4 linked regions of the Rhinolophus ferrumequinum genome follow. The protein of the gene in region 2 purifies or fractionates together with the protein of the main gene of each other region. This does not show direct contact. Links are inferred from orthologs where the notes say so. Each region holds a gene or a part of one and is shown on either strand. Other genes may lie near its edges.

What was found.
Region 1: the proteins of GSK3A (region 2) and FRAT1 purify together in Homo sapiens (affinity purification with mass spectrometry; 4 studies listed by BioGRID and IntAct, with this or other methods). This does not show direct contact. The link is inferred for Rhinolophus ferrumequinum from reciprocal best matches to the Homo sapiens genes GSK3A and FRAT1.
Region 3: the proteins of GSK3A (region 2) and GSKIP purify together in Homo sapiens (affinity purification with mass spectrometry; 7 studies listed by BioGRID and IntAct, with this or other methods). This does not show direct contact. The link is inferred for Rhinolophus ferrumequinum from reciprocal best matches to the Homo sapiens genes GSK3A and GSKIP.
Region 4: the proteins of GSK3A (region 2) and AXIN1 purify together in Homo sapiens (affinity purification with mass spectrometry; 12 studies listed by BioGRID and IntAct, with this or other methods). This does not show direct contact. The link is inferred for Rhinolophus ferrumequinum from reciprocal best matches to the Homo sapiens genes GSK3A and AXIN1.

The regions. Positions count from the first base shown.
Region 1 is NC_046299.1:26,429,464-26,437,543, forward strand, and holds the start of FRAT1 (proto-oncogene FRAT1), read right to left. Parts: upstream 3,356-8,080; 5' UTR 3,137-3,355; coding exon 2,303-3,136; 3' UTR 1-2,302. UniProt on the Homo sapiens protein: Positively regulates the Wnt signaling pathway by stabilizing beta-catenin through the association with GSK-3. May play a role in tumor progression and collaborate with PIM1 and MYC in lymphomagenesis.
Region 2 is NC_046298.1:40,146,566-40,153,760, reverse strand, and holds the start of GSK3A (glycogen synthase kinase-3 alpha), read left to right. Parts: upstream 1-3,923; 5' UTR 3,924-4,520; coding exon 4,521-4,803; intron 4,804-6,488; coding exon 6,489-6,676; intron 6,677-7,195. UniProt on the Homo sapiens protein: Constitutively active protein kinase that acts as a negative regulator in the hormonal control of glucose homeostasis, Wnt signaling and regulation of transcription factors and microtubules, by phosphorylating and inactivating glycogen synthase (GYS1 or GYS2), CTNNB1/beta-catenin, APC and AXIN1.
Region 3 is NC_046289.1:7,262,026-7,269,216, forward strand, and holds the start of GSKIP (GSK3B-interacting protein), read right to left. Parts: upstream 3,092-7,191; 5' UTR 3,021-3,091; intron 2,978-3,020; exon of another isoform or gene 2,678-2,977; intron 1-2,677. Other genes in the region: ATG2B (autophagy-related protein 2 homolog B), read left to right, coding at 3,650-3,811. UniProt on the Homo sapiens protein: A-kinase anchoring protein for GSK3B and PKA that regulates or facilitates their kinase activity towards their targets.
Region 4 is NW_022680357.1:2,360,796-2,368,551, reverse strand, and holds the start of AXIN1 (axin-1), read left to right. Parts: upstream 1-4,505; 5' UTR 4,506-4,809; intron 4,810-7,756. UniProt on the Homo sapiens protein: Component of the beta-catenin destruction complex required for regulating CTNNB1 levels through phosphorylation and ubiquitination, and modulating Wnt-signaling.

The sequences.
Region 1 (8,080 bases), on a different chromosome or scaffold from region 2:
GGGGTAGGGACAAGAGAGTTTATCTGCAGGAAGTGCCAGTAACCCTGAACCCTTTTCTCTCATCTCACTTTTCATCTGTTGTACAGATGAGGAAACGGAAACTCACAGTTGAGCAACTTGTCCAAGGTCCCCATTTAATAAGTGGACTTGAACCTGGATACCCTGTCTCCAGCCTGGCTCCTTCCTTGAGGGAACAGACTGTATGTAGTAACTCAGAACTGGGGGTATAGAGATGGGCTGTTATGTCACTGCTTAGGGAGAGAATGGCAGCAAAGGTGCCAAGGGCAGAGAGAGGAGTCCTTTAATACCCTCCCAGCCAGCTTTTCCACCACAGACTTGCATCCTGAGCAACCCCTAACCACGAGCCGCTCAGCCTTACAGCCACCTTGTGGAAAAAGTCCACTTAATGACCACAATAGAAAGAAAAAAAAAGTGATTAGCCTCCCAGTCTGCAGTGACTGGTTGATCTGATGTTCTTTGCTAAAACATTCAGAGCCATCTTCATAAAACATCTCCATCACTGACGAGTAATTCAAAAGCTCTATCTAAGGTTTTGGTGAATGGGATTGATCCAAATCCTGACCTCACTTTCATTTCATTTCATGCCAGCACCAATACACACCCAGCCGTGCAGACCCTGTCTAACCAGTGAGCCGCTCAGACACAAAGGCGCTCTAATTACCATCTGCAAGCTAGGTCGACAAGGATTTCAAGCGTTTTCATGTTTATAGAGATCAGAGAAATATGTTCTGTGCATGTTTCCCTCCGACAGCAAGTATAAAATAAAACCAAACAAGAAACACAACACATTTATTTTAAAAAAACATATTTCAGTTAAGTTAAAATCCTATAATCAGGATAGCCACAATTCCAGACACTCCGGTGCGAAGTGTAGATATGTCAATAGCCACATCTGGATGATGAATAAGCCATTGAATCTTATAAAACTAAAACACCAACTAAACGGTCTTAAATCCCTCAGAGTGAGTGAACAGTATGTTACAAGCACTTGGCGGTTCACAATGGCACAGCCTGCAGCTTCTGCATTTGGAGGGCCACATTTTCTACTCGGTTTCTTTCACTTACAAAGGCAAGCTGGTATGGCTGGGGGAGGGGCAGAGGGAGGAAATCAACTCCATCTATCCAGGGAATTGCAGCTGTTATTGCAAATGGCCCCGGAGAGCCCATTATAAGCTGCTATGCGAGGCTGTTTCTTCCTGGAGTGCCCGTCACGTGGCTTCTCCCCAGCCCGGGCCCCCAGGAGCACCAGCACTACGCTTTTGAGTAGGACAGCAGGGCCGAGGGGGAGAGGAAGGACCGGAGGCCACGTCTCCAGAGCTTCTGTGAAAGCCAGGGGCGCGGCCGCCCTCAGGAGGCACCGGCGCCCAGCACGTCCCTGCCTCCCTGCACCCACGGTGGCGGCGGTGCGCATGTCCTCAGGAGACTCCAGAACTTGCAAAAAACACTGCGCTCTTTTCCGAGTACAGGCAGAACCCGGCTACTTTTCTGTCTTGCTGGAGCCCCACAACCCCATGTGCGCCCAGGAAACAGTGACCTTGAACTCGCGAAGAGGCGGGCCAGCTGTAAAAATACTTTCGAGAGGACCAAGGGTTCCCTCCGCGCCTCACCCTATCCTTTCCCCAGCACCACCCGACCCGGCCTCCCATCCCCACCCGGGGCGCACTGCTTCTGCTTTCCCCTACCACTCGGAGAACCGCAGCCAGTTGCAAAGCGGGGGCAGAGAAAGGTTACTTCTATTTAACTCCCAAAACGTCCCTTCACGGTACCAGGTGTTTTAAGAACCAGCACCCTAAAAGACACGAGATGGTTTTTTTGTGTGTGTTAAGTTTTCTAGTCTGGCAGATTGAGGTACTACGAAACGATCGTCTATTCATGTTCACCTCCCCCAAAAGTGGATCAAGGACCAGCCTTGAAAAAGCAAAGCAAGTAACGGATCATCCTCGTCGCGCGTGCACTCTGCGATCCTGAGAAGCGTGGACTGTGGCACTATGGTTGCCGGGCCGTGGAACTGCAAGCTGTGCCTCCAACATGGTCATACATAATAAGGTGTCCTATTGATTGTGAGCTTGGGATACGCTTTCTTCAATAGGGCCAAATCCTGTTTTTCAACATCAGAGCCCTTGACCTCAGTTTCCCACGAAAACACTCGCGATTTTTCGATTCATCGTCTTCATTACTTTCCCGCTTCCAAAAGCGCGAGTTCACCAGTCTGAGTAGAGATGTACCTCTCAGGGGAACCCCTTGCCCTCCAGAGGCTGGCGCTGTGGCCACTCCCGGGATATTAGCTGCCGGGGACAAGAACGCTGTCGCCAGTTCGGAGCTGCGCCCTCCTCCCTGTCGCGCCAGAGTTGCTGCAGGCCGCGCGAGGGCTGCGGGGCGACGGTGGCTTGTGCACCGGGGCTGTCAAAGGCCTCAGGAGCGGGTTTTGGGGAAGCTTTGCATGTAACTGCAGCCGTCGCGAATGAAGCCTTCGAACCGCCTCTTTGATGAGATTCCCGGAGAGCACGAGCTGTTGCAAGAGCCGGTGTGGGTCGTCGTCGCCGGTGCGGACTTCCGGCTGGGGCCCGCGTCGCTGCTGCAGGCGGCGGGAGGCAGCGGCGCCCCGCAGCCATCCTCGCCGGCACGGACCCGACAGCGGCTGGGGGGCGCTCCTCTTGTTGGCTCCCGAATGCCCATCTAAGTTGGGCTGAGGAGGCAGTGGGGACAGGGCGCTAGGGCCTGCGGCGAGCTCCGCCACAAAGTAGGGCGCAGACCGGCCCCGCACGCGGCCGCGGTCCCCGAGGACGCAGCGCAGGGCCCCCAGGGGCGCCGGGCCCACCGCCCCGGCTGGCGCGGTCGGCAGAAGCAGCGGCAGCCCGGGAAGCCCGACCTTGTCTGTCCGCACCGCCGCCGGAGGCTGCGGGGGCTGCACCGGCGGCCCGGGGGGCGCGCACGGGGAGGCCGGACTGTCCTGCGTCGCGTCCAGCTGCAGCGTCTCGCCGATCTGGGCCACCAGCCGGTCCACCTCGCCCGAGCCGCCCAGCGTCACCGACTGCTCCAGTAGGAGAAAGCTGCCCTCTTCCTCCCCCTCCGCATCCTCGCCGGCTTCCTCTTCCTCTTCCCTCCGGCAAGGCATGGCACCCCACCCGAGCACCCGGAGCTCTCCAGACGTCGCTGGCGGCTCTGTGGATCGCGGCGGAGCCTGGCGCGGCGATGAAGCCGAAAACCGGGCCGGGGCCGGGGCCCGGGCTGGGGCCGGGGGCGGGGCGGACGCGGAAGCCAGAGACCCGCAGGCACTCGTGCGGTGCGCTGCAGCCGCGGGAGCCGGAATCCTACCGGCTCTGGTTGATTTGTAAACAATGGGTGACGTTGCCGCTGGGCCCTACCACCGCGAGGGTGTGGGGGTGCGCAGTGCGGTTGAGGGGGACGGGGGTTCCCCTGGGCGGGGGTCCAGGCTGAAGCCTTGCTCCCTAGAGCTCCACAAACCTGAATACTGTCTGCGTGGACTCACTGGGTAGCTGATCTTCGCCTTCTCAGGCGGGAGTGTTTGGCATTTACAGAAGATGAGCACCGGCGTGGACTCTGTTGGTTTCTTCCACACACAAGCACAGACACTTTCACTCACACGCCCACACACTCCCCTCCTCTGAGCGCGTCAATTCGTCTGGTTTTGGCTTTTGCGCTTTTGAGATCCCAGGTTCTAGAGTCTGGTAAGTGATGACCCGGCGAGTGAGAGGAGGGTGGAGAGGTGACGGAGTCAGGCTAGGGATTTGTCTGGAGATTGGGGAAATGGGGACCCTGTGCTTCGATGGAGGTGGCAGACTTGGAATTGGCAAAGAAAAGCCACAGATTAATGTTTCTTGATTAGGAGCAATGGGTATGTGGGGTCTTGGATTGGGGCTGGCGTTACTGGCGAGGAGGAGGTTGCTAGTCTTGGGAAGAGCTCTGAGCTAGAAAGTTCTTTTAAGAAGAGTGCCTCAGCCAAGTAGAGGAGAATCCTGTCTGAGAGGGTTGCAGGAGAGGAAAATGGTGAGCTGTTTGGATGGAAATGGAGAGATGATCCAGCTTAACCCTTTAAGATATCATGATTGGCTTAATGATTAACCAAGACTTCATTTCTTAAAAGGAGGGACAGAAAAATCAATCATTTACTGTTATGTTGTTTGGAGGTTTTAGATGTTTATTCAGAATCCCAAACCCCTCAGGCCTAACTTCCAAACTCACCTGTAGGTAGACTTAGTGGACCAGCCTTTACAAGCCATTCAGGGGAGAGATTAGCAGGGTGATAGAAGTTTTGAAAATATTCAAAACTGGATTATAGTAATGGTTGGACCCCTCAATTTTACTAAAAATCATTGAATGTTCACCAAAACTGAGTGAATTTTATATTTAAATTATATTTCAATAAAGTTGTTTTAAAAATTAGCCACAAAGTATGCACACACAAACACAGAAGCCAGGTACTAGGAAACTGCTTTAAAATACTGAGCAGGAGAGTAGCATAATTTAGAAGAGAGTGCAAGAGGAAGAGACTGGAGCCTGGGGATCCAGAGAAGTAGAAAAAAGGGTCTTAGTGGGCAGGTCCAAAGATGATAATTACAGGAGCAAAACTGTAGGGAGGGATGAGATGGAGAGAACAGGTGGGAAGTTGTTAAAAAAAAAAAAGAGTTGGGCTTATTTTTGTCATGTATGGGGAGAAGAATATGAGAATGAAGGAAGAGGCAGTTTGAAGAAAGCCATTGAATTTTTGGAAATCTTGGAAATTAAATCTTGGAAATCCAGACTTCTACAGAGTGCCATAAAATTTATCACCTCATTTTAGTGGATTCCTTACGATTTTCTATATGTAAGTTCATGTCATCTGCAAATAGAGGTGGTTTTACTTCTTACTTTCTAATCTGGATGCCTTTTATTTTTCTTGCCTAGTTGCTCAAGCTAGAATCTCTAGAAAAGTGTTGAATACAAGCGGTGAGGGCAGACATTCATGTCCTATTCCTCACCTTAGAGAAAAGCTTTCAGTCTTTCATCATTAAGTATATTATGGGGTTTTCATAGATGGGCTTTACTAGCTTGAGGACATTACCTTCTATTCTTGGATTGGGGCTGGTGTTACTGGCGAGGAGGAGGTTGCTAGTCTTGGGAAGAGCTCTGAGCTAGAAAGTTCTTTTAAGAAGAGTGCCTCAGCCAAGTAGAGGAGTGTCCTCTCTGAGAGGGTTTCAGGAGAGGAAAATGGTGAGCTGTTTGGATGGAAATGGAGAGATGATCCAGCTAAACCCTTTAAGATATCATGATTGGCTTAATGATTAACCAAGACTTCATTTCTTAAAAGAAGAAATGTTGTGTTTTGTTTTTTCTGTCATGTTTTTGTTTTTGTTTTGTTTTTTTCAATCATGAAAGGGTCATCCCCTTATTGTAAATCAGTGTTCATTTGAGAGTGTGGTCAAGTAGCCATTTATTAGGTAGAATATTCTGAGCCTAGTTATTTAAAAATTTAATACGAAAACAATTGGTAGCAGTTTACAATTTGTATTTTTAATCTCTGGTTCAAAATCTGTAAGTTTCATATATCGTGTGGGTATGAAAAATGGTACAACCACTTTGGGAAAAGACCTGGCAGTTTCTTACAAAACTAAATGTACACTTATCCTATGATACAGTTCCAATCCTAGATATTTACCTAAGAAATAAAAACATATATCTGCATCAAGGCCTACAGGCAGACAATCATAGAAGCTTTATTCATAAAAGCTATAAACTGGAAACAGCTCAAGTGTTTATCAACAGGTGAATGGATAAACTATGGCACATTCATAAGATGATAACAGAATATGCTTTAGCAACAAAAAGGACGGAAGTATTGCTATATGCAATAATATGCAAAACAGTACTCTAAGTGAAGGAAGCCAGAGACAAAAGATCACATACCATATGATTCTGTTTATATGATGTTCCAGAACAGGAAAAATTAATTTATGGTAGGGAAAATAAATCAGAAGATTGATTGCCTTTGGAGAGGGTGGGGTGGGGCAAGGACTGAGTCAGAAGAGGCCTGAGGGAACTTTAAGAGTGGTGGTAATGTTCTATATCTTGATAGCTTCACTTGGGTTGCACAGGTGTATGCATGTGCTAAAACTCATTGAATTATAACTTAGAATTTATGTATGCAAATTTTACATGAAAAGAAGAAAAAACTATAAACAAATATTGAATCCTGGTTAATAGACATGCTGATGAGTCTAGGGGTGAGGTGTACTGATGTTTGAAATTTATTCCCAAGCATACAAATATGTGAGATGAGTTAATACATGAATAGACAGGTATGATAAAGCGTGTATAGTAAAATGTTAATGTTACTGTATGACCTAGCGATTCCATTCCTAGGTATATATCTGAGAGAATTGAAAACATACGTTAACACAAAAATTTGTACATTGGGGCCGGCCTGGTGGCTCAGGCGAGGCGGTTAGAGCTCCGTGCTCCTAACTCTGAAGGCTGCCGGTTCGATTCCCACATGGGCCAGTGGGCTCTCAACCACAAGGTTGCTGGTTCAATTCCTCGAGTCCCGCAAGGGATGGTGGGCTCTGCCGCCTGCAACTAAAGATTGAACATGGCACCTAGAGCTGAGCTGCCACTGAGCTCTCAGATGGCTCAGTTGGTTGGAGCACGTCCTCTCAACCACAAGGTTGCCAGTTCGACTCCCGCAAGGGATGGTGGGCTGCGCCTCCTGCAACTAGCAACGGCATCTGGCCCTGGAGCTGAGTCCTTCACAACTAAGACTGAAAGGACAACAACTTGAAGCTGAATGGCACCCTGCACAACTAAGATTGAAAGGACAACTTGACTTGGAAAAAAAAGAAAAGTCCTGGAAGTACACACTGTTCCCCAATAAAGTCCTGTTCTCCTTCCCCAATAAAAAAAAAATCTGAAAAAAAAAATTTGTACATAAAGATTCATAGCAACATTATTCACAATAGCCAACATGTAGAACAACTCAAATATTCACTAGCTAATGAGTGGTTGAATAAAATGTGGTATATTCATACAATGGAATATTATTCACTATAAAAAAGAAATGAAATACTGGTACATGCTATAGCATGGATGTACCTTGAAGACATTATGCTAAGTGAAAGGAACCAAACACAAAAGGCCACATATTGTATAATTCCACATATATAAAATTTCCAGAGTAGAAACAGAAAATAAATTAGTAGTTGCTAGGGGATAGGAGGAGAGGGGAATTAGGACTAACTTAATGAGTTTCTTTTGGGGTGATGAAAATGTTCTAGAATTAGATAGTGGTGATATTTACACAACAGAGTGAATATACTAAAAACCACTGAAGTGTACATTTCAAAAGTGTGCACTTTAAAATTCACTTTAAAGTGAATTTAATGTTATGTGAAGGATATCTCAATTTTTAAATCTAAAATATGTTAATGATAGCATCTAGGTGCTGGGTAATAGTTCACTGTCAAATTCTTTCATTTTTGTTGACTGTTTGAAATTCAGAATAAAATTTTAGAAAAAAAATAAGCCACAGGAAAGGAGTGATTCATTTTGTGACTTCATTTAGAACTGCCCAGGGCATGGAGGGCTTAGGGCTGACTATTGTGAAGGAAGGGAGGAAATGTACATACCCCTGCTGGCAGGTTGGCCGGGGAATTGTGTGGACTCATACTCCAGTGTTGGAAAACTGGAGACAATCTGCTGTGGGCTGACTGAAGTCTTGCCCACTGGAGAATTTCAAACTGTACGGCTGGAATGAAGCTTGCCACTTTTATTTATTTATTTATTTTTTACACTTTTATTTATTTATTTATTTTTTAACAGGACTTTTATTGGGGAACAGTATGTACTTCCAGGACTTTTTTCCAAGTCAAGTTGTCCTTTCAATCTTAGTTGTGGAGGGCGCAGCTCAGCTCCAGGTCCAGTTGCCGTTGCTAGTTGCAGGGGACGCAGCCTACCATCCCCTGCGGGAGTCGAACCGGCAACCTTGTGGTTGAGAGGACACGCTCCAACCGCCTGAGCCACCGGGCCGGCCCGACACTTTTATTTTTTATTTTTTTAAATAAATTTT
Region 2 (7,195 bases):
CCCCAATCCAGCCTTCCCTGCCCCTCCAGGGGCCATGAGTGCCTGGGTTTCTCACCCCACAGGGTTGCAACAGGGGAGGGAGGGACATTTTATGATGAACCAAAAATTCTGTGTTGAGGGGTGGGGGGTAGAGGAGGGTGAGGGGTGCCACCCATAGGCCACAAATCTCTACAAGTGCCTGCTATCCCTCTCCTACTCCCCACCCCAGAACCGGTCCAACCCCTTTACCCCCAGCTGCTCCTAGGACCAGCCCGTAGGTAGGCAGGGGTGGGAAGGGGGTACCCTGAATCCAAACTGGAAGACCCTCTGCCTCTTGGCTGGGGCCCCTGGGGTGGGGTCTGTGGTTAAGCCTTATTCTGTACTGGGGACTGAGGGTGGGGGGCGGAGGGAAGTTGGGGGCTGCTGGAGAATGTATTCAAAACAATAAAACTTTGGACCTTTGGGTGGAATGATCTGTCTCATCAAGGGACCATAGCCTGTGTTGGATTCTGAAGGACTGGGGCCTGGACTGACTCCCCAGTGAATCTATGGCCAGAGGGCCTAACCCCATCTGAATGTGTGGTTTCAGGGAAGTGACCTCCTGAAGGGGGGGTGGGGGTGGGAGGTACATACCTCCAGGGCTCAATGATTTAGGTCTCAGGCATACTCCAGTCATCATCTGATTGCTTCCCTATCCCATGGGGCGACTTGTCCTTGGAAGCATTTAGACTCCACCTATTGCCTGAAATGACTTTTCCCTCTGGCTCTGAATTCCTCCCCATGTCCCCAGGCTCTGGAGAAGGCTTGGAGCTCCTTTTGCATTACCTCTAGTGTCCTCTCACACATCACTCTCCTTAGAGCACTTAGTCTGGGAGTCCTTTGGGGACAGGCCTGCAGTCTCTTGGAATGTACACCTTGCAAGGGACCTTGGTGATCTTCCTGTGGAACCATGGGAACATCCTCCACCAGCAAGTTGAGATGGGGACTAGCTTAATCAAAGTCGCTGTTGATTGACCTACTGTATACCAAGTACCTAGTTAGGAGCTGCAGTTATTTATCTCCAACATCCAGCAGGGCAAGTGACTCAGTTAATGTCCAAGGTCCTAAGCCCAACCAGGACTAAATGAAGTCTGTGTTCTTTCGACTCCTGAGTTTTCCTCCTAAAGCTAGGATGGTTGGATCTAGACCAGGGTCTCAAAATCATAGGATCTGAGAAGTGAGCTCATCAAGCTAGAAGCTCAGGTTGGGGAGCTCGAATCAGGGATCAACGAGTCAGGAGGAATCCAGGCTTGGAAGTGCTGTTCCAGACAGCTCAGCCACTACCGTGCAGGTGAGGTGCCTGAGGCCCAGAGGCGGGAAGGAGTTTCCCTGAGGCCACACAGCTGCTAAGAGAGTGGGAATTGAGGGCTCAGGGCCTGTTGGACTGGCTTCACTGTGAAACCCCACCCTGTGCGACTCGGGGAAGGAACTGGTAGCTCCTCCCCACTCGCTTCATCCTCATTTCATGCCAGCCAAGGATGGCTGGTCCCAGATTATGTTGGCAGTGAAGAGAGGATCCAGGGCTGGGGTATTAGCAGGAAACCGAGGCTCCCATGGCAGCCTGCGGGCAACTGCTCCCTCTCCTGGGTGATGTAAGTCACTCCCTGGGGTGGGGGCCACTGGGCTATTTCTGGAAGTTGGGATGAGGCATGTCTCCTGGCAACATAGATGCAGCTGAATTGGTGGTGGTGGTGTGATGGAGAAGGGGATGTCATCACGGGGGAGGGGGGAGGACGCTGACTAGTAGTCTCATCTTCTGATTTCAGTACCTTCGAAGCACCTCTAACCAGGTCTAACATGGATTCAAAAGTGCTCAGCTCTAGAACTGCTCAGGTCAGACCAGGTCCAGTCAGACTGGTTGCCCCCAATTCTGGCTGAGCGGGATGTTAGAGGTGGCATCGGGTCTTGAAACCTCCAGCAGCTCCTCTAACCTTTAACGATCCACCTAAATCTGTTCGCAGTTTCTGCAAGACCACACCCTTGCTCCTTACCGCATCCTCCAGGATCTCTGATTCCAAGCAGAAATCCCTTTATAGATCCACGACACTTCATCAATTAATTCACCCCATCAGAGGTCCTTTTATCTATAACACCCAGCACTCACACTGACCCCCAAAGCTCCTTCCTGATGCTTCTCAACCATCCCTTACCCCTTCAGGCACCTCAGAGATCCCCTCAGTCACCAGTAGTTTCTCAGTCTCCCAGAGACCGTTTAAAAACACCCCAAATCCCCTCTGACTTCTCCCCTGGTCCCCAGTAAGAGGCCTTCACTTCTCCAAGGTACCTCTGAGTACCTCCAGACACCCAAAAGCTCCTCAAAGACACAACCCGCCCTGGCACCCCTCAACAAATGTTCTCAAGCCCTATAAATATCCTGGTAAGACTCCCTCCGACTGTTGCCTTCATACTCCCACTGATCCCAATACCCTTGTGGCGGTTGCCTACGCGCGGCCCACTGCGCATGTCCCACGGGTCCAGGCCGTTAAGTAACCGCCACTATCCTGCCCTTCTCCGCTGCCCTTCTGGGCCTTCTTGGTCCAGTGTAGGGTTGACTTCTCAGGGCTTTGGGTCTTGACTCAGATTTTTGCTTTCCGACTCCGAGCTGCCGTCAGAGGGCAGCAGGTACCGTTTGGCTGGGAAACTACAACTCCCAGAAACACCCGCTCCGTGCTGTGTGTGACGCAACCGCATTCATTGAAGGAATAGAAGTGTGTCCGCGCTTTGCCTCTGGTTAATGTAGTCCGAAAGGCCTTTAACGCTACCGTCTGTCCCGGCCCCGGGAGTGGTGGTGGTGGTGTCTGTGCCCATTGGGAATTGTAGTCAGGACTGGACAAAGTGGACGAGACTTTCTTTAGACTTCTGAAGGGTCAGGACAGTTAGCACCAACACTGGATCGGATTAAAGTGAAGTCCAGAGACTCCATTTCCCATCATTCCATGAGGCAGGAGGGGCTGAGGTGATTTCATTCTTGTTCCAAGTATTTCCGGGACACACACGCAAACGCACACGAACTCTGTTTCCCAGCTCCCTTTGGTGCTACCGTCCTTCCGGGTATTAAATCGATAAATGGGGCGACATAAAGCGTGCACAAAACCTAAGGGTACTCTTAGCACCCAACTTCCTCTTTTGGATCCTCCAGGATCCTATAATTTAGGAAGTGGAAAGACGCAAAAAGCTAAGTGGGGGTTCAGGACAAATTGTATTTTTTAACGCTCGGCTCAGCCTCTGGGTGCAAATCACAAAACTAGAAAAAGCTAGATTGTATCCTAAGACTATTGTTCTGAGAAACTGCAGGTAACTGTTTCCTAAGTCGTTTGCACGGGGGTTTTCCTTCCTGTTTTGTGGAAACTTAGAACTTAGAAGGAGTGTTTGGACTCCACTTTCCAGCAGCTCCTAATCGACTTAGGCTCTTTCTTGGGACCTGGAGATGGGGAAGGAGGCGTTGAAACACTCTTCAGTCTCCATAGGAAACTGCCGACTTTCACCTTTCGCTCAGGCTTTCCCGAAGGTACCCACCAATTGGACTCCACTTCCCCGTCAGCGTAGGCAGTCTAGTCTCAAAGTGTCAGGATCCGGTCTGGACTATTCCCCAGCATGCTTCGGGCTCATAGTAGATCCCTCCCCCTCAGTCAATGGGAGACTGCCTGGAACTCCATTTCCCAGAAGACACAAGGGCTCGCTGTAGCAACTGCTCTGAAGCCGTGGTGCTGACTACATTTCCCGGCAGGAACTGCGGCCTAGCGTGCGAGGGAGGAGGAGCGCTATATCTACTCCATTTCCCAGTCTATCTCCGGAACTGCAGTATCCACTTGGGACTTAGGGAATCACATGGGACTCCATTTCCCGGCGTGCTTTGGGAGTCGCTTTACACCTGCAATGCGGTGAGGGCGTGGCGACGACTCCATTTCCCGGCTTGCCTCACTGTCCGAGATCTGCTGGTCCGAGATCTGCGGGTCCTCCTGCGCCGACTCAATTTCCCAAAGTACACCTGGTGCTGGTGGACATACACAGCTAATAGACTTAGTGACCGACTGGACTCCGTTTCCCGGCGTGCATGAGGCCGCTCACCGAGTGGCTGCGACTACATTTCTGAGGTACACTGAACGGTGAGAGGCTCACCGTTGCCGCATTGGAGGAAGTGTGCGACTCTGACTTGGCCTCCCAAAGTGCTTCTGGGTCCGCCGTGGGCACAGTGGATCGATTTATTGCCCAGGACCCTATTTCTCGACGGGCAGCGCGACCCATCATCTCCACGGTCTATTCTGAAGCCTTTGCGGACTCCACTTCCCGGCGTGCCACGCGGCTCTCTCTGGGCCGAGGGCGGTGACGGAGGCGCGGAGGGCAGGCGGACTGCATCTCCCGGTGTGCCCCGCGGCGGGCGCTGGGCCGGAGCCGGAGCCCGAGCGGCGCGGCCTGGAAGAGGCCGGAGGCCGGGGAAGGCGGCGGCAGCGGCGGCAGCTCGGGCAGCCCGAGCCCCGCGGCCTGGGCCTGCGCTCGGTGCCATGAGCGGCGGCGCGCCTTCAGGGGGTGGCCCTGGGGGCTCGGGCCGGGCGCGGACCAGCTCGTTCGCGGAGCCAGGAGGCGGCGGCGGCGGCGGCGGTGGCGGCCCCGGGGGCTCGGCCTCCGGCCCGGGCGGCAGCGGCGGCGGGAAGGCGTCAGTCGGAGCCATGGGTGGGGGCGTGGGGGCCTCAAGCTCCGGGGGTGGCCCCAGCGGCAGTGGCGGAGGAGGCAGCGGCGGTCCCAGCGCGGGCACCAGCTTCCCGCCGCCGGGAGTGAAGCTGGGCCGTGAGTACTAGGGGCGCCCGTGGTGGGTGGAGATGAGGGTTCCTGAAGCCCCTCAATCGTAGATCAGGTTCTTTTATGTGCCCAGATAGGAGCTCGAGGTCATTGTGCCTCCCAAAACTGGGATCTGAGCTCTACTCCTCCCAAAGAAGGATTTGGGGGGTTACCATCACTTGCAGTTTAAGATTAGAATTAGTTACCGTAGAAAAACCAGGGGTCACAGGTTCCTGTTATTCTAGTATCAAGGTCTTGGGTCCTTGAGGCTTCAAAACAGGGATCTGACGTTGCCATCCATTAGAGAACAGGATCAGGGGTCATCGTCACTTACGAATGAAGCTCAAGGGTTATTGTTCCCGAAGAGAACAAGAATAAAAACACCACCACCCGAAAAGGGGCTCTGAATTTGTTCCCCTTCAAAGGATGGGATTTGGAGTGAATATTGTTTAGAAGCAGGTATTTGGAGTTACTGTGTCCCCAAAGATCAGGGCTAGGGCTTTCCAAACCTGGTACCTAGGTCATCTTCCCTTTTAAAACACAAAGTTTGGTATCATTACCTGTTCATAATATGTAGAATTGTTCCCCCAATGGTAGAAATTAATGGTTGCTGCTTTTTAGAAATAAGGACAGAGTGGGAGTCAGTATCTCCATCAGATCAAGTCACGGTCCCTGTTCTTAAAACATGGCTTGGTGGGTCTCCTTTCACAAAAATGGAATGAGGGCAGGAGAGAGTCACAATTCCCCATAGAATATGGATCTGGTTATACCCCTTTCGTTATTCTGAGGTGTGTCATTGGCTCTGGAAAAAGACCTACGTAGAATCACCTCTGACAAAAGAAGGTGTCAACTGGTCCCTCAACATGGATTTGATTCATCAATGACCCCTTTTCTTTGGGGAACCTTTCCTCACTTTCCCAAAGAAAAGGGGTCCCTGTCCCCAAAGAATGCTACCAAAGTTTGCTGCCATTCAGAAACCAGAACTGGGAATTACAGCTTTTCTTTGAAGGATGGAAGCTGGGCTAGCCCCTTGGTTATAGAGATCAGGTTCACCAGTCTCACAATTTGGTGCTTGTCCATTAGGGTCCACCCTCATGCTGGAAGGGGTCTGGGGCTCTGGGCTGTACAGGTGAGGTCAGGTCAATGCCTTCTCTAATCCCAAAGTATTTGGATTAGGGCTAACTGTCCCCAAAAAGTGAGAATCAGGGCACTAGCACGCTCATGCCAGGAGGAGTCATTCATTCCTGTCACCAAAAACCACTGGTGAAGTTACCAGCTCCACCAGGGAGTGTGTAGAGGTCACTCTGCCCTGAGCTGTGAGGAAGGTTAGTGCTTTTCTAAAGTAGAAGTACCTCAGGATTACCACTTGAGTGGAAGAGGTTAGGTCAAGGCTTTCCCCAGTCAGGAGGGCCCAGAGGGCAGTAAACTTCAGAGTGGATTGGGAGTGTCGGTGTCTCCTTAGACCAAAAGGACCCAGTGGTTTGCTGCTTACTAGAAATGGAGATGAAAGGTCTGCAAGAGGTTTAGATGTCAGTATCCTGGGGGAGGGTACTGGGAGGAGAGGGGAAAGGAAAAAGGGACAGAGAGGCCCCAGAAAGCTACCTGTAGTGATTCCCCTCCCTCCCACAGCCCCAGGAGGGGATGGTGGCAAGAGGGGAAAGGTCAGTGGGTTTTGTGTCCCCTTTGTTCCCCAGGTGACAGCGGCAAAGTGACCACAGTGGTAGCCACTCTAGGCCAAGGCCCGGATCGCTCCCAGGAGGTGGCTTACACAGACATCAAAGTGATTGGCAATGGCTCATTTGGGGTCGTGTACCAGGCACGGCTGGCAGAGACGAGGGAACTGGTAGCCATCAAGAAGGTTCTTCAAGACAAGAGGTTTAAGGTAGCTTGGGGGGCGCGGCACGGGTGAGGACATGGAGGCTTGACTGGGCATGACTGGTGAGAGAGCCCCAGAAGCACTGGCCTTAGGGTTCTACAGAGGATCTTAGCATGGGCCCGAGGAGAAGGGAGAGAAGAGAGTGAGTTGTGTGGAAGATGGGAATATAGATTCCAGCAGAGCCCAGAGCTGACATTTATTGGGCTTTTCCTCTTTGTAAGGGCTTTGCAGGTGAGTTTTTGTTTAATTTACATAAAGGTTCGCTGAAGGTAGATACTATTGTTATTCCCATTTCAAGTAAGCAGAAGCTGGAAACTGAGACTCAGATAAGAGAATTGCCAAAGGTCAAGACTAGCATCTGATTCCCAAGTCCTCTACCTTTACGGAGTTAAGCTTCTGCTTAGAGGGGAAAGGAAGCTGGGGGAGCTGATTGAGTGTGTTAGCAAAGGCCTTGCTGTGCCGCAGATAAGTAGGGGGTGGGATCCAGCCTGCGCAGCAGCTCTCACCAAACCACGTGCCTTGCTG
Region 3 (7,191 bases), on a different chromosome or scaffold from region 2:
CTTAGTTACTCTGCTGCAACTCCAGGCAAGATATTTTAATTTCCGTCACACATTCCTCCTCTCTAAGATGAAGCCAACAATGGCATCTACCTTAAACGGATACTGAGAGAACTAAACGAGTGAACATCTAGGAAGGGCTTCGTGTGGCGCTGGGCACATGGTAAGCTCAAGAAATATTATCCGTCAATTATTATACACTAAAAATATTTAAAAATATCTTTAAAGAAAAAAGAGCTGACCTCGAAACTCCAGCCGTTTGATTCTTTACATTATGTAGGATGGCTGTAGCTGCTGCCTTGTATAACTCCAAGAGCCACGCGATGTGGGAGCCCGAACATCATGTTCCTGTTACATCAGGTGCAAGTTTTTAAAAAAGGCCAATGACGTCCCATCGGCTTTTCTTCTATTTCACATGTTAACATGGATTATTCTGAAGAATGACCCATTCGGTATCCTTTTATAGAACTCATTAGAAGTTGACAATGGTCAGGGATTATCTCCATCTTCCTCAATTAATGCTAGTTGTTAACATTTTGTGATAGTACTTTGATAAAACACAAAAATAGCATTGTGATTTAGGCTGAGTTTGTACCCTATTTGAGCGAAAGGTATGATGACAACAGGTCCTACACCTTAACATTTATGCTGAGTTTCTCCTAGAAAGCATAATGTACAAGGCAACACACCTAACTTTAAAGAGAGTACGTCTGTTATAAAAGTTTCCAATTTTTATATTTTTCTTATATTTGAAATTTCAGGCATTCTATGAACAGCCTGAATGTACTTGTAATTTTACATTCCAAAACAAAACATATAAACCTGAAAGAAGTCAGTTGCACCCATTCCTCAAAAGTCCAGTTCAAACCTCCCAAACCTAGTCTAATTCTCTGCCAGATGAGATCCCATCTTTGTTTCTATTCTCGCTATGGCAAGTGTTATCATTATATTCACAGACATGGCTTCCTATCTTCAAAATAGTGGGGGTGCCAAAAACATGTATACATAGGACTTGTATTCATTTTTTGTTACCGGTATATATTGTCACAATTTTAATAGCTTTTTCCTTTCTTAAAACGTGTATACATGTTTTTGGCACCCTCTATATCCAGAATCCAACTGCTTCTTACCATCATCACTGCTACCACTCTAACTCAAGCCACTGTCATCTTTTGTCTAGATTATTGCAATGTCCTTCTAACCGGTTTTCTTTTCTCCTTTGGTTCTCCCATCCCACACAAGTCTATTTCAACACAGCGGTTAGCACGATCCTGTTAAAACAGGCCAGATTATGTCACCTCTCCTCAAACTCCTTCACCCAGAGTAAAAGCCCAAGTTGTTATCATTGCCTACAATGCCCTCTATGACCTGACCCCTCTACTATTCCCTGCACCCCTTTCTGATGGTCCTTGACCCCACCAAGCATGCTTTTGCCATAGAGCCTCACACTTGCTGTTCCTCCTGCTTGGAAAACAACTATTCCACGTATTCACGTGCCTTGCTCCCCAGCTTTCTCCAAGTCTCTGCTAAAATGTCACCTTATTAAATAAGGGAGACCTTCGCTTACTCCTTTATATAAAAGTGACAAATCTCTTTCCTCTCCAGTGCTTCATTTTTTTTTCCTACGGCCCATATCACCAGATGGCATATGATTTATGCGATTACTGTTAGTTTCCCTTGCCTTCAACAAAATGTAAACTTCGGGAGGGCAGGGCCTTAATTAGTTCACTGCTATATCCCCAGCACTTAGAATAGTCCCTGGCTCAGGCAGGCAATCAATAAATATTTACTGATTAAAGGAACAGACCTTTCACTCGAGAACATAAGCTCCTTGAAGGTTTTGCCTGATTCTTCTTTACCTGTTACGTAAACCTTACCAGTTGCAGAGACTTTCGTTTAATGGACCCTTAACAAATATTGCTGAATGAAGAGCAAGGAAATTGAAGTAACTGAGAATGCTTGGGACAGGGCTACAAATGAGGGGTACCAACAATCCAAGCACCTACATATGTACACTGGCGAGCACACTGGTTCCAACATGAAAAGGTGGTGTGGAAAGGGGAACCAAACCTTTCTCCACCTGACAGTAGTTTGGGGCTGTGTTAGTGTTTCTAAGGCATTCACGAGTTATCAACATATACACAAAATCTCCTTAAACAGGCCGTCTTACTTTACTATCCTTAATTGAACTATATGAATCAAGACTCTGCTTAGGTTCCTTCCCCACTCATACCGTTTAATTTTCATAACAAGCCCGGGAGGTTAGCTATTAATACGCTCACACTTGGCAAAGGTTTAGAGAGAGCAGTGGCCGGATCAAGGTGGCTGGGCTAATAAGTGGCCGTATCAGGACTGTAACCCAGGACATCTGGCTTCCAGGCCAGCAAACACCTTTCGTGGTTGACTAAGTTAAGAGCCAGCCAGCCTCGCCTCTGCAGGAGTTGCCTCCCCAAAGGCAGAGAAATACGATGGCGCAGATTCCCAGAAAAGCACAAGCACTTCGCCCAGGTTTCTGAGGGGACGGGAGGCGTTAGCATTAATTACAGGAGGCAGTTCTGCCCACAAATGCCTCGAAAACTCAAGTTTCCTGGTCGCCGGCGCAGCACAGCAGGAGGAAGAAAGCGCTCGGGAAGCAGCCAGCCGCCCAACAGTAACGAAGATGAAGCTTTGGAAACAATACCTGAATGAGGCGGGTGACGAACAACTTGCTGACAATAGGCACCGGTCAACACTCGGGGGCGGCGGGAGGCGAGAGAGCGGCCGCAGCCCTCCCCGTGGAGCCGGCGGCGCTCCCAGCGCCGGGTTCCGGGGTCTGGGTCTGGGGTGACCGGGGCGGCCCAGGCCGGACCCGCCCCTGCACCCAACTCAGCCCCACACCGGGCCCCTTCTGCTGCCGCTCCTCCTGGCCCGGCCCGCTGCGCCGGGTCCCGCCCGGAGGACCCCTCGCCCGCCCTCCCTGACGCCCTCCGGCCGCCGCCAGCCCTCCCGCTCGCCCGCCCACAGCCGGCCCCGCGGACGCTCACCTGCGCGCTCCCGGCTTCCTCCTGCTCTTCCCTCCCAGGGCGTCGCAAACCGACCTGCGGCGCCGCCTCCTCTCTTCCCCGCCCTCGCCCCGCCCCCTCGGAGCCGGAACCGCTCGCTTCCGGGCCCTTCTCCCGCCTCCTGCAGCCCCAGTGTGGCGTCACTTCCGCCAGCGCAGGCCGCGCGCGGGGAGTCCGGGGCTCGCGAACGCGCCGGAGCGTCCCCAGAGTCGGGAGCGCGCCTGCGGATGACAACAAATTCGTCTCGCGGCGGCGGTGGAGGTGTCTGCCTCAGCCCCTGCCTCAGGCCCGGTCGCCTCGCCGCGCGCTCTCCTGCACCCTCTCTCCGTGCGGACGAGGACCCCTCCGGAAGACCCCGGGCCTGGGGCGCCCGCGACTCCTCCGCCCCGTGTCCCCGCCAGGCCTAGAGCGAGCGGCGCGGCGCAGGAGATGGGGTCGTCCTGAGGGACGCCTGGTGCCGGGAAGGGATGGAGGGGCCACCCCGGGCTTAGGCCCCTCCGCGGCCTGGGGACGCCGGCCAGTGCCCTTGCCGCCGCCGCAGCGGCCTGGAACCGGGGCCTGGGCCGGGAGGCCGGAGCCGCCGCCGCCCGCAGCCCTCGCCGGCCCTCAACATGCCTTGGCCGTTTTCAGAGTCCATCAAGAAGAGGGCCTGTCGGTACCTCCTGCAGAGGTACCTGGGCCATTTCCTGCAGGAGAAGCTGAGCCTGGAGCAGCTCAGCCTGGACCTGTATCAGGGCACCGGGTCCCTCGCCCAGGTCCCCTTGGACAAATGGGTAAGAGCTGCCGGCGGCCCCCCGGGCGGGACTCGCTGCCCTCCTTAGGGCGATTTGAACGAGTGTCACCCCAAATGTGTGACGTTCAGCCCCTCTCTGGGAGTGGCAGGGCTCAGAGAAGTGTGTTCCAGTCTTGTTTAATCTGTTCCTAGCAAGTTTGCGCCCCCAAATCACGTGTTCCAGAAACTTAGCAGAGGTAGTGGAGTCTACGCTGGCAATCAGTGCACGGAGGCAGCGCCTGGGGTCGGTGAGGGGGCCTGTGGAGCGCGGGGACCAAGGGCTGCCCCCTCGGGTAGGAGGGGTCGCGGGGCTCCGTGGCCAACACCCGGTTTCGTGGGAGGACACTCCGCGAGGTGAAGGATGAGGCGGACCCCTGGCAGTGTCGGAACGCCTGCTGGTTCCTGGGTGTGTTTTGGGTTGGCTGCTTGCGCACCGCGGTCTGCCTCCCGCATTCGCCATCTGGAAGAAACAGGTGAAGGCCGCCTCTGCCCATGTGCCTTCTTTGGCCCCTCGCGGTGTGACAAGGCCAGCCTGTGAATGGTTGCGTGGCCCTGGCCGTGCTGTTTAGTTACGCTGTGTGTTTCACGTGACGGATCGTAAACGCAGGTGTTGTAAAAGCACCGAAGCTGCAATTGGCAGACATTTAAACTCCTGTTTTCCACTTGTCATCCAGGGGCTGTGGGTTGACTCATCGTGTCTTACAGGTGCTTCGTGTATATTTCAATGCACCACATACAGTTGTACCGGCATTTGTGTGTTCAGTGCATACAGTATTTTACTGAAAGTGTGTTAAGCCTTGAGTTTGACAAGAATGGAGTGGCTTTTCTCCTCCCCCAACCCTTCGTTTATTGCACTCGAGTTTGCTGTTTACAGTTTGAATATGTTGTCCCATTCTGGAGTTTTACTATTCTAAAAACACTCCAACACACTTTCCACTTAGGAAATCATAGATATAGGTAAGTTTCTTAGGAGAGTTGTGTAAACAAAGGGAAACTTGTTTTCCTCCTCATTTAAGCTTTGTAAAAAGTGTGTGTTTTTTACCTTTTATGTAAAAGTATTTTAACAGAGTAATGACTTCCTGAGTCATAGAACCTTGAAATGCTCAGGTTATGGTAACACCTTATTATGACCCTTAAATTAATTGGCTCTAGCATGAATAAACATACAATTTTATCAGTAAATCGATGATTTACGCTGGGGAGAGCACATAGTAAAGTAGAAAGAGCCCTGGTCTGAGTAGCAGAAAGACCCAATGCCACACCTGGCTAACCCAGGCTACCACAGTTAGCCAATTGATATTGGATATAGTAACACATCTAAGCTCAGTAAACATTAATGGAGTGTCCACTCCATGCCAGGCAGTGTGTCAGGGTCCTGTATTGCTGTAACTCTTGCCAGAAGATAGGGTTTGTGATAGATATTTTTAAATTCATTGACCCATGAGTCTATACTTTTGGTACAGCTTTTTTTTTTCACTTGGGGAATATTGGCGAACAGTGTGTTTTTCCAGGGCCCATCAGGTCCAAGTCGTTGTCCTTCAATCTGGTTGTGGAGGGCGCAGCTCAGCTCCAAGTCCAGTCCCTGTTTTCAGTCTTAGTTGCAGGGGGCGCAGCCCACCATCCCATGGGGGAATTGAACCTGCAACCTTGTTGTTAAGAGCTTGTACTCTAACCACCTGAGCCAGATGGGCTGGCCCCTTGTGGTACAGTTTTGAATAGACTATCTTGAAGGAGGAGGATTGGGCCGTGTATTAACTGCCTTTTGTGGGTCGATTGACTTTGTACAGATTATCCTTTATGACTTTTCATATTAACTCTATGAGGTGGGTGATATGATTTCCATTTTACAGAGGGAGTTAAATAATTTCTCCAAAGCGACATGGCCAGCAAACAGTACAGTGACAATTCAAACCTGTCTAATTACTAAGCCGACTATTATTATTATTTTTTAATTAATCGTGTCTTCAAGGAAAGGACCGTGGATGCTTACTGAGCATCTATTTATTTAAGGCACTGTGCTAGGCACTCTCATTTGTGTGGTTTTGCTTAATCCTCATGGAAATCAGTTGGTAATATTCGAATTTTACAGTTTGACCAGGATTGATGGCAGAATAATTTAGGGCTCGATTTAATCTGAAGATTGTTTTGTTCTGCTCCTTGAAGGCCGGGGCTATTCCCAGCCAAAATGATAATGTCAAATAAAGCATCCAGTAAATATTTGCTGTTGCTGTTTATTTATTTATTGACTATAGTGTGCTGTGTTGGCGACTAAGATAAATCTTGATGTGACACTTAGCTATTCAAACTTCTGGTTCAAATTCAGTTACTTTTGACACTTGATTTTAATGACTTTCATTCCTGAAACAAAGATACCTCACAGATTCTTGGATCCAAGTGGAAGAATTACATCATTGGCAACATCACTAATGTTTCAGTTCTCAGCCATCAATTATGCACGGGATTATGTTGAAATTGGCTGTGACATTGCCGTCTTCCTTGATCTTAATCAGTTGTGCTTGCTAATTAATTAATTGGAAGGTGTTGCATTTTTTATATATAAAAAATTAACTTTAAAATCCATTTTTAAAAACTGTTCAGCAGACTTAGATTCATTGGGATAATTTTCCATGTTTTCGAATCTTTTATAACTGTGTAGATAATGACTTAAAAAAAGAGACAGTGTTTTTAATAGACATTATTTCAGCAACAGAATCATGTAACAATGGAAACATTTCCAAATACAATTTTTCACAACTGTTCCCCCCATAGTACAAGTATCCTTTGAAAAGCAGTTAGTTACTTTCTCACTCATTATTAAAGTGACATCTTTACTTTGAAAAGATAAAGTATGTTTAGCTTTTTGGAATACATCTGGTTGGTAGCATGTACTACCAATATCCATCTGTCATCACATGAATGGTCGGCATATTTAGCACTCTAATCTTGGTGTGGAAGAAAATTGCTTTTCATATTTAAATTCAACTCTTAAATATTTGGCCATAAGAAAACCCAGGAAATCAGAAAGTTACTGTTACTTTCTGTCTCTTTGCAAAGACTCAACTGCTTTAAGGTCTGTTTTTATTATGCAGAAGTAAGTTTCAGTGTGCTGAAAAGGAAAATCCAGCTGAGGACACCACTCTTAACTCTTCCCAGTGTGGAACTACTCATCTTCTCTTTGTACGGGTCTGATGTATGGTCTGAGTGAAGGCGTCAGTGCCCATTTGTAAATTAAATATTAGTACAACTTTTAAATCGAAAAATGAAAATTTTAATACAGAATGTCTAATTTTCTACTCACATCCCTGTGGATTATCGGTTATACTCTCTGGGATATACGAGGTGTGATCACAAAATGCGGTGAATGTCTAAATGACAAAATTT
Region 4 (7,756 bases), on a different chromosome or scaffold from region 2:
GCAACAATAGCAGCAGGGTTAGAAGGGGACATATCATGCAAGCAGCAGTGGACACAGCTGACACTGGAACCAGCTTGTTTGAGGCAAAGCCCCTGTTCCTGTACCCCTAACTCCCTATCTTGGTGTGGGGGCCAGCATCACTCCTGGGGAGTCTGCCTCGGGCATTTTCAGCGGAAGGGCTGGTGAGAAAACTCCACACAGCAAGAGGGATGCAAAGTGCCAGCGTGGACAACACACCTGCCCACCGGTGTGAAGGGAGCGAGGAGCTAAACACAGGAGAAAAGAGGCTCGGGGACCCCAGCCCGGAGTCAGCCCAGGAAGCTCAAGGCAGCACCTTCTCGCTGGTCCTGGGACCTGACTTGGGGCAACTGCAGCAGTCACAGGATGATCTGCCACCCTGCCCACTACTGCCCAATGGGTCATCTCTGTCCCTTCCTACAGGGTCCTCACCCCTGCTGGTCTTGCTCTGACCACTGATTGCAAGGTGGTGCCTGCTGCAGAACTTTGTGGTTTCCATGTGATCGTAATAGTGATTTCACACAGAACTTCTTCCTGAGTGTATATGGAAGAGAATGGACTCCATTCCTAATTCTGCTCTCCAGCCATAACCTGGTATCAATGCCCTGGGATAGTTCTTGAGTCCTCTTGCCTTTCTTTGCACACGTTCTATAGTCATAAAAATGGGTACCCTCTGTGTGTGGGCTCTTAGCTTCTCTCCTTGGTGTTACATCTTGACACCTTGGTGCAATGGCTCCATGTCCTCTGTTGGGCCCAGACAACACCTGGTCCTCCCTGCTGAGCTCAAAACTGATGGAAAAGCACACACCCAGGGAGGAGAGATGGAGCCCGGGGCTGGGCTGGTGGTCAGGAAGGTGGCTGGCCAGTGTGGCTGGGGCTTCTCCTCCAAAGGGAAGTCCATTCCTCTCCCCTCAGAACTGGAAGAGCCAAGGCTCTCTACCTGCCTGCTCATCCCCACCCCCTCACCTGGGGACTGGGCAAAGCGGGCAGGAAATGGAGTGCCTGGAGGGGGCTCATTCTGAGTCTCCCGTCTTCCTCTGGAAGCCTGAATCAATACGCTTCCTCCTGTCCTTTCGTCCCAGGAGGAGGATGGGGACCTTCACAGTGTCCCATCTCTGCAGCTAGTCCTCTGCTGCCAGTTTTCACCCTCCTGCATCGGTCCATGCCCCAAATGCCTCAACATACCTTCTTGGTGCATCTGGGTGATGACTTTGGAACCCTTTTTAGAAGCTGTCTTCCTCAGCCAAGTGCACGAACACCTGTAAGGCTTCAAAGCTCACTTTATTTCACAGTATTCCCTGTCTGTCTAAATCGCAGAAAATAATGTCATTTCTACTCCTAAGTGTTTCGTGTAGTTCCTGGAAAGCCTGAAAAAATGTCATCTTCAGTTAATCAAATCAAAGCCTCTAGTGGCAAACTTCTGCTCCCAGGGAAGGGGGGTTCATTTTAGCGGACCTCTGGAAGGCAAAGGGGGTGCTCCGCCATGGAGTTCAGCTGTTCAGAAGTGAGGCTCCTGCAGTTGTGTCTCCTCTCAGCTCTGGGTGGCTGATGCAGTCCCCCTGCCAGGTCATCACTGCTCCATTGCAGGTCCCAGGGCTGCCCTCCCTACCTCCCTCGTTCAGAGTTTTCCCAGAGCTTCCTCCCCTGATCTGCCCCCATGCCCACCCAGCTCAGACAATCTCCTGTCCGTGCCCACAGCCATAACCCACCATAGAGGGCTGTTGAATTTCCTCCAGGCTTTCTGACTCCCTTCCTGTTCCTGCAGGGCGGGGGCCCCGAGGAGCCGGAGGCCCGAGGACCCTGTTCTGGTACCAGGGCCTGGGGACACCTGCCACCATGGGCCAGGAGGAGGATAGACATGGACACAACCCCAGGAGCCTGGCCTGGCCGCAGCAACAGCTCTGCAGAACCAAGGCAAGCGTTGGGGGCCCCTTTCTGGGAGAGGGGTGGCAGCCTGAAGGCCAATGTCCAGGCCACCCAGGACTCCCAAACCCCACAGAGACTCTGCTGTGCCATGAAGGCCACCCACTCTGTCTCCTCTAAGCCTCTGAAGCTAAACAGGGGAGGGGAAGGGCTGCAGGGGCATCTCCTGTGCCCAGCACTCTGGGGCCTGGGGCCATCCGCCATCCTGGCTGGACTGAGATGAGTGTGACACCTGCCTCCAGGACCCTAGTGGGGCCAGTGTGGGTTCAGAAGTGCAATTTCTGTGGTGTGCTGTCTTCACCTACAGCCCCAACCCCTGCCTAGCCTGACCCTAGGTATGGTGACCCTAGGAGGTGGCCTGGGCCCTTGGCAGGCTGAGATGCTTCTAGTGGCCCTTATCTCTCACTGTTCCCCTTTCCTACAAAATCCTGGGCACTGGGTGCTATGCTGAGCCCTGGGAGAGGCTGGTACCACTGGTGGGCTCCTGGGTGGGACGTTGGCTGGTGGGTCAAAGAAAGCCCAAGCTGGGACTTCTAGCCCTGCCTGGGAGCCATGTAGGATGAGGGTGGGCAGCAAGGGTGAGCAGTGTACGGGAGATGTGACATTAGAGGTGACCTGGGGGGCTTCCAGGGGCAGCATGGTGGACACATGAAGTGGGCAACTGACCAGACACACCCAGAGGAGGGTGGCATGGTGGAGACACCAGCAGAGAAGGGCCCTGAAAGACTGTGGATACCAGAGAGCAGGCTGCTGGGGAAGGTGTGGATGGATGAGGTGTTGGGGAGCCCTGGGATAGGAGGCGGTGGAGCAGGTTTCTATGGGCCTCAGTGGTAGCTTCCTTGTCTGTAGAATGGGGGCATGGCTGTCCCTTAGGGGCTGCCAGAAGCATTTCTCCAGGTGCCAGGCCCAGCAATGCTGTGCAGAGGATAGAGTCCTGGGTGGTTGTGACTGGTGGCAGAAGCAATTCTTTAGGGACATTAATCAATTCCTGGTATTGACAATCCTTCCCTTGGGGAGGGGTTGGTGGTGGGCTTGCAACAGAGTTGGCCAGCTATGCTTGCAGGTCAGGCAAGGGCTGCCTCGTGACAGTGAGGGGGATAAAAGGTGGTAGGTGCAGGGATCGGGTCACCTAAAAGCTCTTGCTCTCAGGACGGTGTGGGCATGTGGGACTCACAGTCATTGGTGGGAAAGGGAGCCCTTGTCCAGACCCTGGATGGTGCCTGGGAGAAATGGAGGCAGGTGGGCCCAGCCTGGGTAGGGCCTCAGCCAGTCGCAGCCCACAGCTCTTTAGAGGTTGGGGCTCCTGCCATATTTGTTGGATGCCTCCTGCCTACTGTGTGCCCTGGCCCTGTCTGAGTCCAGACTGCCTGGGCACTCAGGGAGGGTGTAGCCCCAGACCACCTTTTCAGGGTCCTGGCCAGCTGGGGAGCAGTGGGCAGGGAGAAGGGGGAGACAGGCTAAATATCACCAGGGGCTCAGTTCCTGGTCAGCCTACCTCTGCCTTCCAAAGTGCCCAACTCCTGGACGTCTGCTTCTTTCAGTGTCCTGGGAAGTTGGTGGCCATCCTGCTGCGGGTCTTCCTGTCCAGGGCCAGCCAGCCCCTAGATCTGCAGTCCCTCTGGGCACCTTGCCCACCCGGGCGCGGGCCGGGCCTGTGGGTGCCGACCTCGGAAGCCCTAAGCTGGTGGACACCAGCGTGGGCAGCAGAAAAGGGCGGCAACAGGGCATGCACCCAGCGGTGTCCACCACATTGGGGGACGGTCGTCCACTTGGCGCACTGGTCCAAGCCTCCTTGGTGACTACAGTTCTTCAGGGACCCTCGCGGGGGCGTCTCCCCGACGCCACTACCCTGGACTCCACAGTCCAGAGGGACATGCGCAGTTTCCCAACGCCCCCTCCCGAGTCCCCTCAAGACAGCGTCCTTGCTCCACTCCCCGCTCACGGCCCCGTCATATTAGCATATATAACCCCGCCCACTCCCATTCCGGCTCCGCCTCACGTTCCAGGTCGGCCTGGACGCTTTTGGCCCCGCCTCAAAACTCAGGGCCCACCCCTACGCCCAGGCCCCGCCTCCACGTCCTAGGCTCCGCTCCCACGTTGGAGGCTCCACCCCCATGCTCTTAGCCCTTCCAGGCGCTTCGGGTCCCTCTTGCATTCTCGGCCCGGGTCCCACACTCTCGGCCCCGCCCCGCGCCCTCGGCCCCTCCCCCACGCTCTCGACCTCGACCATGTGCTCTAGCCCCGCCTCCACGTCCCAGGCCTCAAACCCACGTTCGAGGTCCTACCCGATGCTCTTCGCCTTATCGGTGCGCTCCGGCTCCGTCTTGCGCTCTCGGCCCGGCTCCCGCTCTCGGCCCGGCTCCCACCCTCGGCCCCGCCCTCACGATTTCGGCCTCTCCCCCACGTTCTCGGCCAACCCCAAGTCCCGGTCCCGCCCCACGCTGTCGGCCCTTCCCTCGCTCGGGGCTCCGCCCCACGTCCTGGCCCCGCCCCAAGCCCCGGCCCCGCCCCCGCACTTCCGGGCGGCGCCGGCGGGGGCGCTCCGGCCTGGGCTTCGGCGCTCTGGGCTCCGGCTCCCCGCTCGGGGAAGCGATCGCGGCCGCCGCCGCAGGACCGGCCGGAGTTGGGCCGGAGCCGCGTCCCCGCGGAGCAGGCCGGTGAGAGCGGGCGGCCGGCCTCGGCGGCGCCCTCGCGGCCTGCCTGCGCCCGCCTCCGGGCCGCCGCGCCGCCGCCGCGATGGGGGCCGCCCCGGGCCGCGCCCCCGCCCCGTCCTGCCCGTCGCCCCGCCGCTGAGCGCATGGGCCGTGCCGCGCCGCGCCGCTCCGGGAGTCGGGCCCGGGGCCCTGCCACCGCTGCCGCCGCGCGCGGGTGAGTAGTGCGGGCAGAGCGCGCATTCCTGAGGGGCGCGGGCCAGTCCGTCCGCCCATTGTAGGCCGCGTAGGCCGGACCGGGCGGGCTGGGCGCGGGACCCGGAAGAGGGGCTCGGCGGGTGCGGGCTGGGAGCGTGTGAAGGGAGGCTGTGCGGACCGAGGGCGGGTGAGGGGAGGCCGTGCGGGCCCCGAGTGTGTGAGGGGAGGCGTGCAGGAGTGCATGGAGGCTGTGCAGACCGCGGTGATAGGCGAGGAAGATGCGTGGGGACCGAGGCTGTGAGAGCAGGTGTGTCAGACGGGGGTGCTAGCAGGGGATGTGGAAGGCGAGGGCCAGTGACATTGGGATGAAGAGTGCCGGGTTTGGTTCAGAAAGGGCAGACTCTTGCTCTAGGTGAAGACCTAGGATTCTGAGAAGCGGTTGGGGGGGTCCTCCTCGAGGGGTCTGGGGTGTGCAGCTGGTTGGTGTGTTGGATGGCATGGTGCTGCGTGCGTGCGGTGGTTTGTGAGCCTTGGGCATGTTTCAGGGTGTGGGTGGGGTGCAAAGGAGCTGCTGGGGCCAGACATTGTGTGCAGGGGTTCTAGAGAGAGGCTGGGTAGTGGCGCGTCCTGTTCTGCTATTCCCAGCAAAAAGTAGGACTGAAGGAGCCTGAAACCCAAGGAAGGTGCCTGAGACTGGGCCCCGGCTGTCTGGCTTCTCTGAATGGCTGTCATCTTCCAGGGTGATGCTTTGTCCCCCAAACTATCTCTTGGGTATGGGTCTTCAATTCTACGTTCACACCACCTTTTGGAATTCAGCCCCCCACGAAACCAGAGCTGTATGACCAGGACAGTGAAACTTTTAGCATAGAGGACAGTGGAGAGAAAAATAATTCTCTGGGGATTTTTCTCAGCTCACCTCTCAGATAATTCATAAAAAGTTCTTACTGTGCAGCTCGGCCCCTCTTTTTTGCTCACACGTATGTTCTCTGCTTCTTTAGGGCGAATCTCAGGCAGACTGGGACCCACAGGCCCTGTTTTGGAGAACACACAGTCTAAACCTGACCTCTCAAGATAGTCAGCAGCGTCAGGGTTTCGCTTTTAAGAACTTCTGTTCGGGAACAAAGATGAGAAAGCATATAAAATACAGTAGTGTTTCCTGTTTGCTTTTCAGCAGGTGTTGGTGTTTCTTGGATTCCTAGTTTCAGAAAAGCTAAGTGGATTTTGGGGATTTACATGGGTCATTAAGAATTTAAGTCACGGGGGAATGGTTTATATGCAAAACTGTAGCCCTTAGCCCTTCAAGAGTTTAATTGCTGACGCTTCCACACTCCACATAAATCAAAAGTTATATTTGAGTCAAATAAATATATACACATCTATAGCATTGAGCTGGCTGCCGTGGTACCCAGGGGTTATGTCTTGGCAGTGACTAAAGGAGACTTTAAATGTGGTATCAGTTGTATGGATTCCTTTTATGGAACCCTTTTATTGATGGTGGTTACACGCTATTGGCCAGATTCAGTGCTTGTGGGCATTTGACTCTGACCTGAATTAATGTAACTGCTTTATGTGTGATTTGTGTGTGTGTGTACACTAAATGTTTGATGTACTTCTCTGTGGAAACCCGGAGCTTGCGGGAATCGGAGCACATTTCAATAACGTCAGTGATCTGGGAAGTTTGTTCATGTGCTTCCAGAGACACCAAAGGTCTTCTGTCAGTGGACAGCCAAAAACAGATATGATTTATAAGGAATGTTTTTTCTGAGCAATGAAAAATCATTTAAAATGATTAGAGGGACTGGTTCACACGTGAATTAAAATGTAAGTCTTAAGACAGCCGCAGTTTGGTCATAAAGGGCTAGATCTTGAATTGACTGCTCTTTGTATGGCACAGTAGTTCAGCATCTGTAGCAAGTGTCATTTTCCTTTATGTCAAGGAATTAAATATTTATTAGTGCCCGTTAGTCGCCAGACCTTGTGCCAGGTGCTGTGGGTCCTGCAGAAAATGTTTAAATCAGGCTGCCACAAATAATTGACAAAGACGTCATAAAGCACCTTAAGAGAAAGTGACAGTGATTCATAATGAGCCTGTCGTTCTAACACAGTGACTTGGTTCTTTCTCAAGGCTGATTAACTGCAGAGTATCTCTAAGGATCCGGCTCCGGGGGCCGGGTACAGGCCCTCTGGTATCCGGGACAAGAGGACATGAGACATTCACAAGCTGGGGTGGGGCTGAGACATCACAGGTACTCATTCCATGTTGATGGTGCTCCAAGAAAGTGACTTTGCAGTCGGAGTGGTCCATGAGCAGCAGGGCGCCACAGCCCACCATCCTTGACCTTAAGAAACAGGCTGTTCCTGCTGAGGCTGAGATTACAGCCTACCCAGTAGTTTTCATAAGAAGTCATTAGCCGCAGAAATGTCACTGGGTGCACGTAATTGTGACCCAGCCTCCATCTCTGGAAGCTTCTCACTTCTAGCCATCAGGAGCTGCTGGCAGGTGAAGTTGGACGCCGAGTGAGAATGCAGATGTGGCGGGGGATTCCTCATAGGCCAGGCCCCAGAGTGTGGCGTGGTGGCCAGGGAGAGCCCCCCTTTGTGTTAGTACTTTATTTTGCTTCCTCCGGCTTGTTCAGTGCTCCAGGCACTTTGGACCTGACATGCTTGTCTCCGGCCCACTTCTGGGCACACCACTTCCCTCGTGGCAGGCTGTGTTGCAGTCACCCCCTTGGCCAGGTTGGGAGGCATCGCCCAAGCTTGTGGGCTCCGTGCGCGCCTGTTGGAAGTGGCAGGGAGGCCCTGAGACCATGGGCGTCTGGTCCAGGCCAGTCCCCCCTCACACCCAACGCAGGCTTGTAGCAGCAGCAGCAGCAACAAAGCCGATGGTTCCGTGACCCCTAAGCGGGTGGGCAATTTGGTTTTCAGCTTACGGAGTTAAATCCTGTGAGCTGTATGCTTCCTTAGCT